2 linked regions of the Caenorhabditis elegans genome follow. The protein of the gene in region 1 purifies or fractionates together with the protein of each later gene. This does not show direct contact. Each region holds a gene or a part of one and is shown on either strand. Other genes may lie near its edges.

The links. The genes of interacting proteins can lie anywhere in the genome.
Region 2: the proteins of T11F8.4 (region 1) and K05G3.2 fractionate together in Caenorhabditis elegans (co-fractionation; one large-scale study listed by BioGRID). This does not show direct contact.

The regions. Positions count from the first base shown.
Region 1 is NC_003282.8:5,473,610-5,478,489, forward strand, and holds T11F8.4 (non-specific serine/threonine protein kinase), read right to left. Parts: upstream 2,960-4,880; 5' UTR 2,907-2,959; coding exon 2,859-2,906; intron 2,811-2,858; coding exon 2,463-2,810; intron 2,114-2,462; coding exon 1,952-2,113; intron 1,719-1,951; coding exon 1,519-1,718; intron 1,472-1,518; coding exon 1,114-1,471; intron 1,061-1,113; coding exon 569-1,060; 3' UTR 522-568; downstream 1-521.
Region 2 is NC_003284.9:16,493,138-16,500,398, reverse strand, and holds K05G3.2 (uncharacterized protein), read right to left. Parts: upstream 5,470-7,261; 5' UTR 5,385-5,469; intron 4,062-5,384; 5' UTR 4,021-4,061; intron 3,970-4,020; 5' UTR 3,873-3,969; intron 3,771-3,872; 5' UTR 3,746-3,770; coding exon 3,630-3,745; intron 3,379-3,629; coding exon 3,341-3,378; intron 3,285-3,340; coding exon 3,200-3,284; intron 3,087-3,199; coding exon 3,043-3,086; intron 2,995-3,042; coding exon 2,889-2,994; intron 2,502-2,888; coding exon 2,467-2,501; intron 2,417-2,466; coding exon 2,338-2,416; intron 901-2,337; coding exon 854-900; intron 807-853; coding exon 695-806; intron 597-694; coding exon 524-596; downstream 1-523.

The DNA.
Region 1 (4,880 bases):
AACTAAATATAAAGAATCGATTAAAATTCCGCAGCAGTCAAAGTTTGAAATTACAGTACTCGGCAACCATTTTGTAGTTACCAAAAAAGCGTGTCGAGACCGGACACCGTATTCTTGCGCAAAATTTCGCGTCTCGGCAATCATTCCGCACAAAAAATTCTGCTAATTTTGAAATGTTTCAAAAAATATTTTCAGTTTCAAAATTTATTGAAATTTAAAATACACAAGAAACTTTTGGAACGTTGAAAAAATTGTTCAGCCTTTTTTATATATTCAATTTTTCGATTTTTTTTTGTTGATATTTTCCAGTTTTCGGAATAAAAACTTCGAAAACTTCTTCCACTTTTCAGAAGTGTCTGCTTTTAGGTAAGAAAAAAGTTCATTTAATATAAAAAATACATCTTCTAGTTATTCAGCAGCAAAAATAGTTTGTATTAAACTTCCCGGTTGTGATGAAATTATTTCTAAGCTTCTGATAACTGGATGAAAAAGTGAAATAGAAGAAATCGGTTCAACATTTTTGAAAGTCAAAAACTAATTTATTCGAGTAGTATTCATACTAAATGATTCAAGTTCCTTTTGGTTTTTTCTTGGATGCAGGGACTACAAGCACTGTGGGATGAACCAATGGGGCAACATTCAATCTCTTCGAGTTGGCTGACGACTCCTGCTTCTCCTTTCTGAGATGAGATTTATGTGGAGTTTTATGTGGAATTTTAGTTGTTGTTCTCGACCGTTTGCTCTTCGGAGTTATGCTTCCAGGTTTGTCAATCATGATAGTCCTTTGCTCCATATCCTTATTTCCCTTTGACTTGGCATCGATGGATTTTCCGCCAACAGCATTAGCTTCCCGATCAGTGAGGCGACGTCCACTTTCTCTATGATCCTTCGTTTCTTTCGACTTCTCCAGAATCATGTCTCCTTTCGATCCTTTCTTCTTTCTCTCACTTTTCTTTTTTCGATCCGAGTTCTTTCTTTTATCAGATTCTTGATTCTTGGCGTCTTGCTTCTTTTTCAGATCTTTCTCTTCAACTGTTTCTACCTCATCCGCAGTTGGAAACTAAAATTAAATAATCAAGAGTTATCTTTGACAAAACATATATATAAACTAACATCAGATGCAGCAACGACCGATCCCCATGACAGCTTCAAAAGAGGCTTCACCACGTACTGGTCACCTCCGGGAACGTCGGATGTTTTTGGACGGAATGCCTCTTCAAGTACTGCAATCGTAGCGCTCTCCTCTAATGCTTTTTCAGGCAATCTTGATCGCGTTTGGTACTTTTTCTTGATAGCATCGGTCACCTCATTCTTCTTCCGAAAAACATCATAATCCATTGGATCAGTGTGCTTGGCATTCAAGTCCGACATCATCTTCGCCAAGAGCTCGTAGATCATCAAATAATTTGGACGATCGGGATATCTAAGCGTCTTCAAATGATCCATGATTGGTTCGAATGATTTTGTGAGTCTAAAAAAAAGATTTGAAATAACGTGAAATAAAACAGATAAACGAACGGATTGCTAGCCATAGCTGCATCAAACTTTTCCAGCTTCAAAAACTCGATCCTGTCGGGATGCACCACTTCTGACCATGGCAGCTCGACTTTCAGCTCGACGATCATGTAGAGCCAGGCGTAGAGGTCATCGACACGTCCCTGCTCACGACGAAGATGCATACGGGGAGAGCAATAGCGAATTGTACCACGGAAACGGCACTGAAAATGTGGAAGATTTTTGTAAGTTTCTACAAACGTATTAGATTAGGCAACTATTTTCAGAGTTTTATCTGAAGAAACCACTATTGTCGCGCCAGGACGAGAAGCAACATAGCAGTGATCATGAAGCGTCCGTTCTGGCGCGATTGTATGTCTGAGATCGTGGCGAGACCAACTCAGAAAAATAGAAAGTCACTATTCCACCAGAAAACAATAAATTCTAGACTTCATACCGCATCTCGTGGACGTCGAATGACGTACTCTCCTTCATCAATCTTTGCATATTTTCGCCCCATTCCGAAATCTATGAGAAAAATTAACGGCGAATATTCGTTGTAGTCCAATGTAACGTTGCATGGCTTCAAGTCTCGGTGTATGTAGCATGCTTCGTGAAGCTGAAAATTTAAGGTAAATTTATTTTAAAAGGATTTTAAATTTTCATGTCAAAACCGCATAAAATATAAGGTTATGTTTTCAGGTCTACGAACCTACCTCGTGGCTACCTACATGCCTAAAAGTATAAAACTTGGCTGCCTACATTCCTACTCTCACGAATATCTGCCTAGCTGCCTACCTATTACCTACGCTTTTATCTCTACATGCTTGCTCGAACTGAAACCTCACTTTTCTACCTAGGCACCTGCCTCATACCTGCATGCATATGTTCTTTTCTCATGCCTACCGGTCTACGAGCCAAACTTTTGTGCGAAATAATTCAGTCCCGATAAAATAATATTCCCATACCGCTTTGACTGCATGTAGACTTCGAATTGCAACACGAAGAACTGTAGAATCGGAGAACTGTCCTTTCAATAGATTGTAGACCTTCTGTAGATCCATTCCACATAATGTCATTACAATGAATCGATAATCGGGTTCCAATCCACTATCCAGCAATTGTATTGCATTCTTCTGGCCTGACAATGCACGCAACACCTCTACTTCACCTTTAAGCACTGATTCATTTCCCTCCTGGTACTTTTCCATTTTCATTGCCCCATCGGAACCATCCACTATATTGACAACATGGACTACTTTTCCAAATGCTCCTGATCCGAGTACCTTTACCGGATGCCATTTGTTTCGAACCGGCTGAAAACGGCTTTTGATTTTTTCCAAAAAGTTAAAGAGCAAACTTACAACATTCATATCAAGCTTAAGACTCGGTAATTTTTCGCCACTTGTCATTTCTTTTGATGAAAAATATTGGTTGTGTTGTAGACTGCCAACAAGCTAGGAATGATTCTTTTTGGCGAACTCTGAGTAATCGTTTCATTTGTTTCAACTTAACGACGTGTCGCAAAGTACAATCTAATATTTTCACGTTTTTAGAAAACAAGTGTGGTGTTAATTTGAAACTTTTCTGAATAAAAAGTATTAAATATTTGTTTGAAACAGTTCACTAAAGATAACTTCAAAAGTGGTTTTCAAATTTTATTTTCCTACTACTCTGCGAATTCCATTACAACACTACATGTGAACAAATTCTTTGAGGGCTAAAATACGGTTAAATCGGCCAATAAAGTTGATAATACAATCAGTAGGCTAATAAAAAAAATTAACTTCTCAAAACTAAAGTTCTGCACCATACTTGTGTATTACAGGCTCCACCACTTTATAATCATAATTCAATTCATATTATTATGCATTCACGTTTTTCAAATCTTAATTAATCTCTCTACATATGTGTGTCTTAAATCGTTTCTCTTGCAAATATGCTAAATCGATAATTTTCTGCAGTTTTGTTAGAAAACAACTTTTTGATCTACTCTGTCTTACCAATTGCCAATGGAGTAAATAATTTTGATATACAAAATAGTTTTGATCTACTTGTTGTCGCGCGTGATTTCTAATTTGATTACCCTCTTTTGCAAACTCAAGATAAAATGGCAGTCCTCGGTTCTGACTGTTTTTCTGTTTTTTATTTATTTTCATCGTTCGAAATGAATGAAATTCATAAATATCCGGGATATGTCCAATGTTTTAATATTCCTATTACTATTCTTACTGCTATTCTACTCTACGAATACGAGTTAGTTGATATGTCTGATGTATGGGACAACAACACTGTGTTCGCGATTTATACTTTTTGTATTCTTATGCTGGTATTTATTGCATTGAGCAAATCGAACGGATCAGTGACGGAAACTGGAAATCTGGGAAAAATCAAACGAAACTACATCATTGGGTCTTATGGAATGTCTCATCTGAATTTGTTGGCATTATTATCTTTTTACTATTTTCAAAGGAGCCCATTGGTAAGTTGTAAACTTTTAGTTTCAAAATACATTGTTTAATTACAGGTCTCCTACTTCGCGTTCTTCATTTCCAATTCATTAACTGCCGGGCTCTATTTCAAGTACATTTGGGGAGTGCAATCATTATGTCGTGAGATGAAGTGCAGGCATGGATGGAAGGATGTTTTCGATGCGTGGGGTCTTTGGATGCTCACTCCAATTGGAGTTCTCGGTGTCTCAATTTACATGAATACAGAGTATGGTCACGTGTTGAAGGTGTGGTTAGCTGCATTCTTCTACTTCCCATCACTTTTTCTCAATTACAAAACATACTTGGCAGCCAGTGACGGACAAATTAAACTTGCGGACAAATTAAACAAATTAAACTTGAAATTCTACGAATACGAAGTATTTGACCTTACCGATGAATGGCACAGATATACTCTATTCGGGATTTTCCGACAATTGTTCTCTACGGTTCCCTTTTTGTAATCGCCAAATCGCGCCGATGGGGCTTCGAATCGACATGTGAAAGAGGAGATTTAGAAGATTTCAAATGGAGTTACATGAAGGGAACGCATACAATCAGTTTTCTCAGTTTTATGGCTCTGCTATGCTTTTATAATTTCCAGAGGTCACCAATGGTAAGTTGTAACTGATTGTTTTTCATTGTTGTCCTAAGTGTTGAAGTTCAGACGACGTACTTCGCGTTTTTCGTTTGCAATGTGCTGACTGCTTTGGTTTATTTCTTGTTCATTCACGAGATGGAACCATTGTGCCGTAACATGCAATGCAATGATGGATGGAAAAATGTTTGTGGATCGTGGTTTCACATGTTCCTTGTGCCAATCGGAGTGCTCTGTGTAGCAATGTACGCTGGAGATTATACCTACGTGTTGAAGGATTGGGTACCTGCTCTCTACTA
Region 2 (7,261 bases), on another chromosome or scaffold:
ATATCGTGAGTCTTAGAAATGGTGTTTTTTTAAATTAACCACATGCAAAAAAATCCTCTCATTTTGATTAAATTCACAATTGAGTAGAAATATCAAAAGATTTAAAATTCTATTTTTGGGATACAGGAAGTATCAGTGTGAGCAATAATCAATATACAGTGCCGCCATTATCACATTAGAGTTGAAACAACAATCCATCATTCTTTCAATTTACTTACCTCCTTCTGTGACTTCTGGGCAACGCGGGGTCTTGCAAACTGAAATTCTTTATAATCAAATTGTGAAACATTAATAATTGTCGTTTAGTCAGTATCAATATATACAACTTGAACTATTTAAACTGGTCAGTCGGAAAATACGTGTTTTTCTTTAGTTTGTTTGTTGCTGAATTGGTGAAATTAAAGTAATTATGATATTACGTATATACACTAGAAAAAATTCGAGTAAACCCGCTCAAAAATTATTATCACATTCTCTAATTCGGAATGCCTCTCTAATAGAAGAAACCCTTAACATGAAAAACTTACTCCATATTGTTGCTTCCTTCATTCTGATGATTTTCATCTCCAGTCAAAGATAAACTTTGTTGTTCTGGCCTGAAAATATTGATTTATTTTCAAAAATAACAATTTTAAAATCAGAAAAGTTGACAACGTTTTGATCTACAACATGCTTCAAAAATAATGAAACTTACATTACGGGCTCTTTCTTAGTTGACACTACGATCATATGCAAGTGGGGATCGTAATCCGGATCATTCGGATCATCAGCATAAAGATCATCATCGCTCGAATCGTCACGTCTCGCTATAAATATTATTAGTGTTATTGAAGCTTTTGTTATTTAGACTTACATGCTTTTGCCTTCTTTTTGCTTCCATTGGACATTGGAGGTCTTGTCCTGAAAATCGAAATTGTTATTAGCCTAGGGTGGATTTACAAAAATACGATATTTGCCAAGTAATGTCTCCATAACATTTTATATGCGGTGTGCGGCGCAATTATAGCAACACTGCTAGTTGCAAGAAGTAGAGTGTCTCTAGTTATTTAAATACTAGTAATCTTCCATACGATATAAATTTAAGATCGAAATACTGAATCGAAAAACTCGAAAAACCCCTAAAACATCGGACCAGTTTTTGCCATTTTTGAATGTATCAACATCAAAATTTTCCAAAAAATAAGAAATAAACAAAAAAATGTGCAATGAATGGTGGGTATTTATAAAAAAATTGTATTCAAGATTCTAGCAAAAATTTTTTTTACAAACTATACTTTGCTTTAAAGTACTTTATTACTGATCTATTACTTTTTTTAAAAATTACTTTTATTACTTTTTTTTTTACTGATTTATTATTTACCAGCCGCTGACCGCGCCTACGGCGCGGCCAACGACTGGCAACATTTGAAATGTTTGACACAATCATTCAAAATTGTCTTATGAAAAAATAATGAAAATTCACATCTTCCCAAATGTTCCCGACTCTAAGCAAGAAACTATCAAAATATCTTGACATTATCCTCACCAATTCCCAAGCCAATACATTTTCAAAAACTTAAAACGCAATTTTCCACCAAACTCCAATAATCCTACAATAATCCTACAGCACCCCAGCAGTACCACTACAGTACCTTGACACTATTCCCTACCAACTCCCTAGCCAACACCTCTTCAAAATGTTTTAAACTCAAAATGTTCTAAACTACAGTAACCCTATCGTATACCTACAGTACTCCTACAGTACCACTACAGTACCTTGACATTATCCCTCACCAACTCCCAACCCAATACATCTTCTGTAGAGAAAAACTCAATTTTTCCTAAACTACAGTAACCCTACCGTATACCTACAGTACTCCTACAGTACCACTACAGTACTTTGACATTATCCCTCACCAACTCCCAACCCAATACCTCTTCTGTAGACAAAAACTCAATTTTTCCTAAGCTACAGTAACCCTACCGTATACCTACAGTACTCCTACAGCAGCACTACAGGACCTTGACATTATCCCTCACCAACTCCCAACCCAATACCTCTTCTGTAGACAAAAACTCAATTTTTCCTGAACTACAGTAACCCTACCGTATACCTACAGTACTACTACAGTACTACTACAGTACCTTGACATTATCCCTCACCATCTCCCAACCCAATACCTCTTCCAACTACAGAAAAGAGAGTTGAAAGATCAAAGATCAAACTACAAACTACAAACGGACGGAAGGACACGCGCTTTATATATAGTAATAAATTGATTACTGATTACTGAAAGTTCTCAATATGTTAAGCTTCTTCAAAAAAGAGGACCACTACAAAAACAACTAAAAACTCACGCATCATTGGGTCTTGTTCCATTGAAATTTCCGTTCGCCCCCAAATAACACCTTGGTTGTCTTTGATTTTGGCCATTGACTACAAAATTACCGTGCTTTTACATAAAAACTTTTCTTAATGTCACTCACGTTCTCGCATCCTTTCCTCACGACTTGGGGGTGTTCTGATAGTTCAAATTATTATCGATTGAGTATATAAAATAATTTCAGAAATATCACAAGTCTAACATAACAATTGTATTAATTTATTTTGAAATCAAAATTTACAACTCCAAATGTGCTCAAATGAACAAGCTTTGTATGGAATTTTTTTCAAAAGTTGTTCAATTTGTTTTATGGTAATTTTAAACTTCCTAGTTTTAGCTAATTTCTTAAATTTTCATTGAGAAGTTTTTTGAGCAAGTATCATTACGAAATTTGTTTTTGAGCACATTTTGAGTCTAACAAAACACAAAGACTTGCCACAACATACAGTTATTAAAATGTGACATGAAATTTGGTTAAACAATTTCGAGAAAAAGCTCAACTCTGTAAAACACCCGAAAACTCACATAACTTGTCCATTGCAATATTGCCCAACTGTTCCTCTACCTTCAGAACGTTGTTCGTTTCCGACATTGTTAGAACTCATTTGCTGCTGTCTTTCATGGAAATGTTCTACAAAATCTTCTTTTTTTTTGAAATTTTTGAAATTTCGCGACTTACGACTTCCATGTCTATTTTCGTAACGCATCGGAGGTGTGCATGATCTAAGAGTAAAAATTATTATTAGATTTGTATTCACACAGTAAAAAAGGTTTCGCCTGGAACTCATGTCTTTCATGAATTTTCAATTGGGTTATTTCAAAATCGTGTCACTCACATTTCTTGCCTACGCAAACTTTGATCCGTATTTCTCATACCATCATTGTTCACATTGCTCCCCATACGAGAATCCCGTCTTTGATCTGGAATGTTTTCTTGAATTTTCCAAGTTTTCAGATTCTGTTGATTTGCCACTTACCTTGTGCCTGTCTATTCCCAATGTGCCAAGAAGGTTGCCTAAAATAAATATTTTTATTGACACTTGATTTCTATTAGAGGGATTTGTTCCCGGTCCAAATTCACAACTTTATCGCTACTTATTCATTTTTTGAAACTGTGAAAATTTATGTCAAACATGATCATTCATGAGAGCGGAAAAATGACTGAAAAAGACATTAATGGACACTATTGTGTGGATTTTTCTTTAAAAAACGTTGTTAAAAATTATCGAGAAAAATTTTCTTCATACAAACTAAAAAAAAACTTACATATCGTCTCCACATGTTCCTTCAGGCAAATTTATTTTTGCGCTTATTTGCACATTGCCTGCCTGATAATAAAAAGTCCTTTGATTTTGTCCATTGAAATTATCGAAAGCTTGCATATTTCCATTGTGCCTCAAGGGCGATCTAGGAAAAGTTGCTCTATCAAACGTAAGCTAATTTTCAATTTCTCTTCATATAACTTTACACCAGCTAATGTACATTTTTTGCACAAACAAATCAACTCACCGGCTCCGTCTCCGTGATTCTTCCCCATTTGAATTGTCCCATCTTTCCACATATCGGTTGTTTCCATTATTATACCCGTTTCTTGAATCATTTCTATCTTAAAACATTTTCTCAGTTACTCATTTATATACATTGCTTTATCAACTACCTGGGCTTCCTCTCCTGTGATCATCCCGCGGGGAATACGATCTGTAAACAGTGTTGTAAAATATGGGGAGGGATAAGTTCCTGGTCAAAACTCATACCTTTTTTCGTGGCTCACCGATTTTTCGAAAAATGCGGTATTTACTGTAATTAACCATAATTTTTGATTTGACGGTAGCTTCAAAAAAAAGTTCACTACTTCTTTTTTATAAAAGCCTGAGGTAACCGGATCCGGGCTAGAACACTTTTGGTGTTCAACATTTTTTGAAACCACTGTCAAATGAAAGATCTTAGTTGATAACAAAAACTCCCACAGCTTCAAAAAAATAGGCCACGAAAAATGTTATACATTTTTACAGGATCTTATTATGGCGCTAATATGCATACATTAGTTAATCTACATCTAGGTCTATCAAATAAATCAAGATGGGTGGACCCTATTAACTTTTCGGAAAACTTTCAAAATTGAAAAGCAAATTATGTTTTAAAACTAATTTAACAGAAAAATCTCATAATTTTTTGTTTCGAAAAAAGAGATTTTTTTTTAATTTTGCAAAAAATGTGATAAGGCACTTATCGGGTTTCACGCCACACTATACAGGAAGCGCGACTTGCGGCGCGAGGCAGGTAGAGATCGCCGCAAGGCGGGAGCGACAGGTGTTTTGGCGTCTGCATGAGAACGCTAGGCCTATCTACATCTTTTCCGTAAACAATTTAACTCACCGGCTCCGTCTTGGTGAATTTTCCCGATCTAAGTTTTCCCATCTTTCCTTTTGTAAAATGTGCAGTACACTATAAAATAAACTAAATATAAAATTAGAAAAACTATGAGTTTTGATTTCTTCCTAAATTTTAACAGTAGGGAAAAAAAATAATTGATAACGTTGTCCATCAAGTTGATTTTATTTTGAATGGTCTCTTTTTCAAAACGAAAAAAATTAGCAGCAATCTACTAATTAAATGTTTATTTTATCACGTAGTTACAGAGAAATTGTGTGTAAACATCATTAAATAGCAAAACAGAGAAGGATAAATTAAAGACGTGCCAACTATGCGTATGTACCAACTATCAACCAACATAGTTGGTACATCTTTGACTTTGCCATCTGCAGTTTTTATGACGTAAGGATTCCTGCCACTTATTGATTGGACGTGACGGAGGTTTACGGAGGGTGAACTAACTAAACAATAGCTGACGGTATGTCCTTTATTATAATACGCGCCAATACGAGACAATCAAAAATTAGTATTGCAGCAAAAAAGTAAAGTTTAAAGAATGTTTCATGTATTCAATTTTTATTGCATCGCTTGATCGCAAAAAAATTAGATTCGCGACTAAAAAGTCAAACTCAAAAAAAAAAAACATACCTATTGTCGTTTGGTCCATATTGGGCGTTTCCAGTTCCATCATTTTCACGATATCCATTATTTCCCTGATGATGAGCATTCCATGTTCTGCGATCATCATTTCTTCCATTATTGCCTTCTAGAAATCAGAATGTTGTACTTTGCTGATTTTTGTTTATTTTTACTCACCATAGGAAGGTTGCCTGTTATAATTTGGGTGTGACCTGAAATAAAGTGTGGTTAGTTTTAACTGAAACATAATATGTAAGCTGTACTTTTTTTTTGCTCACAATAAAAATATATAAAACTGCGCAATTTAATGTTTGAATTGACAATCTCAAGAAACAACTCTAAAAAAAATCAACCTCACATTGTCGATTTTTATCGGTTAGCCGTTCACCGACTTTTTCAATTCACGCCAAACCCGATAATTCCTGGAGACGAGGGTTTGTTTGTTGCAGTAAATTTTTTTGACAAACTTAGAACTGAAATCTGTAAAATATGTATATTAATCAGCTAACTATAAGCTATTACTGAAGAAGTTTTCAAAAAATGAAAAAAAAAGAGCAAATACGTAGCAACATTACAAGAGGATTATTTCCAAAGTTCTTATGGTTGAATACATTTAGAAATATTGAATGTTATCTTCAAAAAAAGAAAAGTATTATCTTTTTTGATAATAGAAGTATATAAGCTTCTGAAAAAAGATTATCTTATTCGGAAATACTGCTATGAAAAAGTCGGATCTCCGGGGGCCTAACCGTTTCAAGCCACAAATAGAACGGCTTAATCTTTTTTTGCTTCAAAAGTTTAAAGTCGAAAAATCAAACTGAAAAATCGAATATTTCTTTAACAGGGGCTAACAGAACACACAATTGAATTATTGACAATTGAAAAAGGAAAATGAAGTGTGTTTCCGAGGTTACACTCCCAGATTTTGGTACTGCACTATTTCTAGAACGGGAAAGTATTAAAAAAAAACCGCTTATACACTTCATATTGCAATAACGAACAAATTGCAATACCTTTCAAATTTTTGATTTTTAATTTCCAAAAAGTTTTGATGCTTGGAGAGGAAAAACCTATTCGGGCCCCAATTGAACTCTTGGTGTTTGAAGATATTCTGACAATTGCTGAATGCTCCAGTGTTAATCAGGAAGTTTACACAGGCGATTTTTTGCGGGTTTAAAAAACTGAACTTTTTTTAATTGTTGAAAAATGATTGTACAAGTTTGACCAATTTTAAAAAATAAACTGATTGCTAACAATCTCATGTTCGGCTCTGGTGCATTTTTTTGGTTATAACTACATACATAGAGACTCAGTATGAACTATCAGAATGTTACACTTCAGTTTTCTATATCCACCAAAAAGTTCCGGTGTCAGAAAAACCAATGACAAAAAAAAATCAAAATTCTTATTTAGATAATTAGTTTGATTTAATTTGAAACTTTGTTAATAAGAAAAATGATAAAGCTGGCGTTGAGACGAAAAGGAAACAAAAACGAACATGGAACACGGTTTTTATATGTGGGGAAATACAGACAAGAAGAATATGCAAATCGTGGACAAAATCGGGATGTTTGCGCTTGGGAACAATACAAATTTTTTTCAGAAAGTTAAAAAAACATAGTATAAAAAATTGACACTTTTGAGGTTGGGGCTTGAATTTCATATTTTAACAGGAAAATTTTAAAAAAAAGTCGTTTGAAACGACGAAATTGTTTAAATCCAAGTTCTGTGAACTTTGGCGATTCACGCTTTTTGAAAACTATGGAACTAGCAAAATGTGTTTATTTCTTCCTATGCGTTTTTTTCTAATTGTAGTTTTTCAAAGGAGGTGAAAAAACAGAAACAGCAAGTCTACCGTATTCATCAATAAGTTATGAAATATTCAT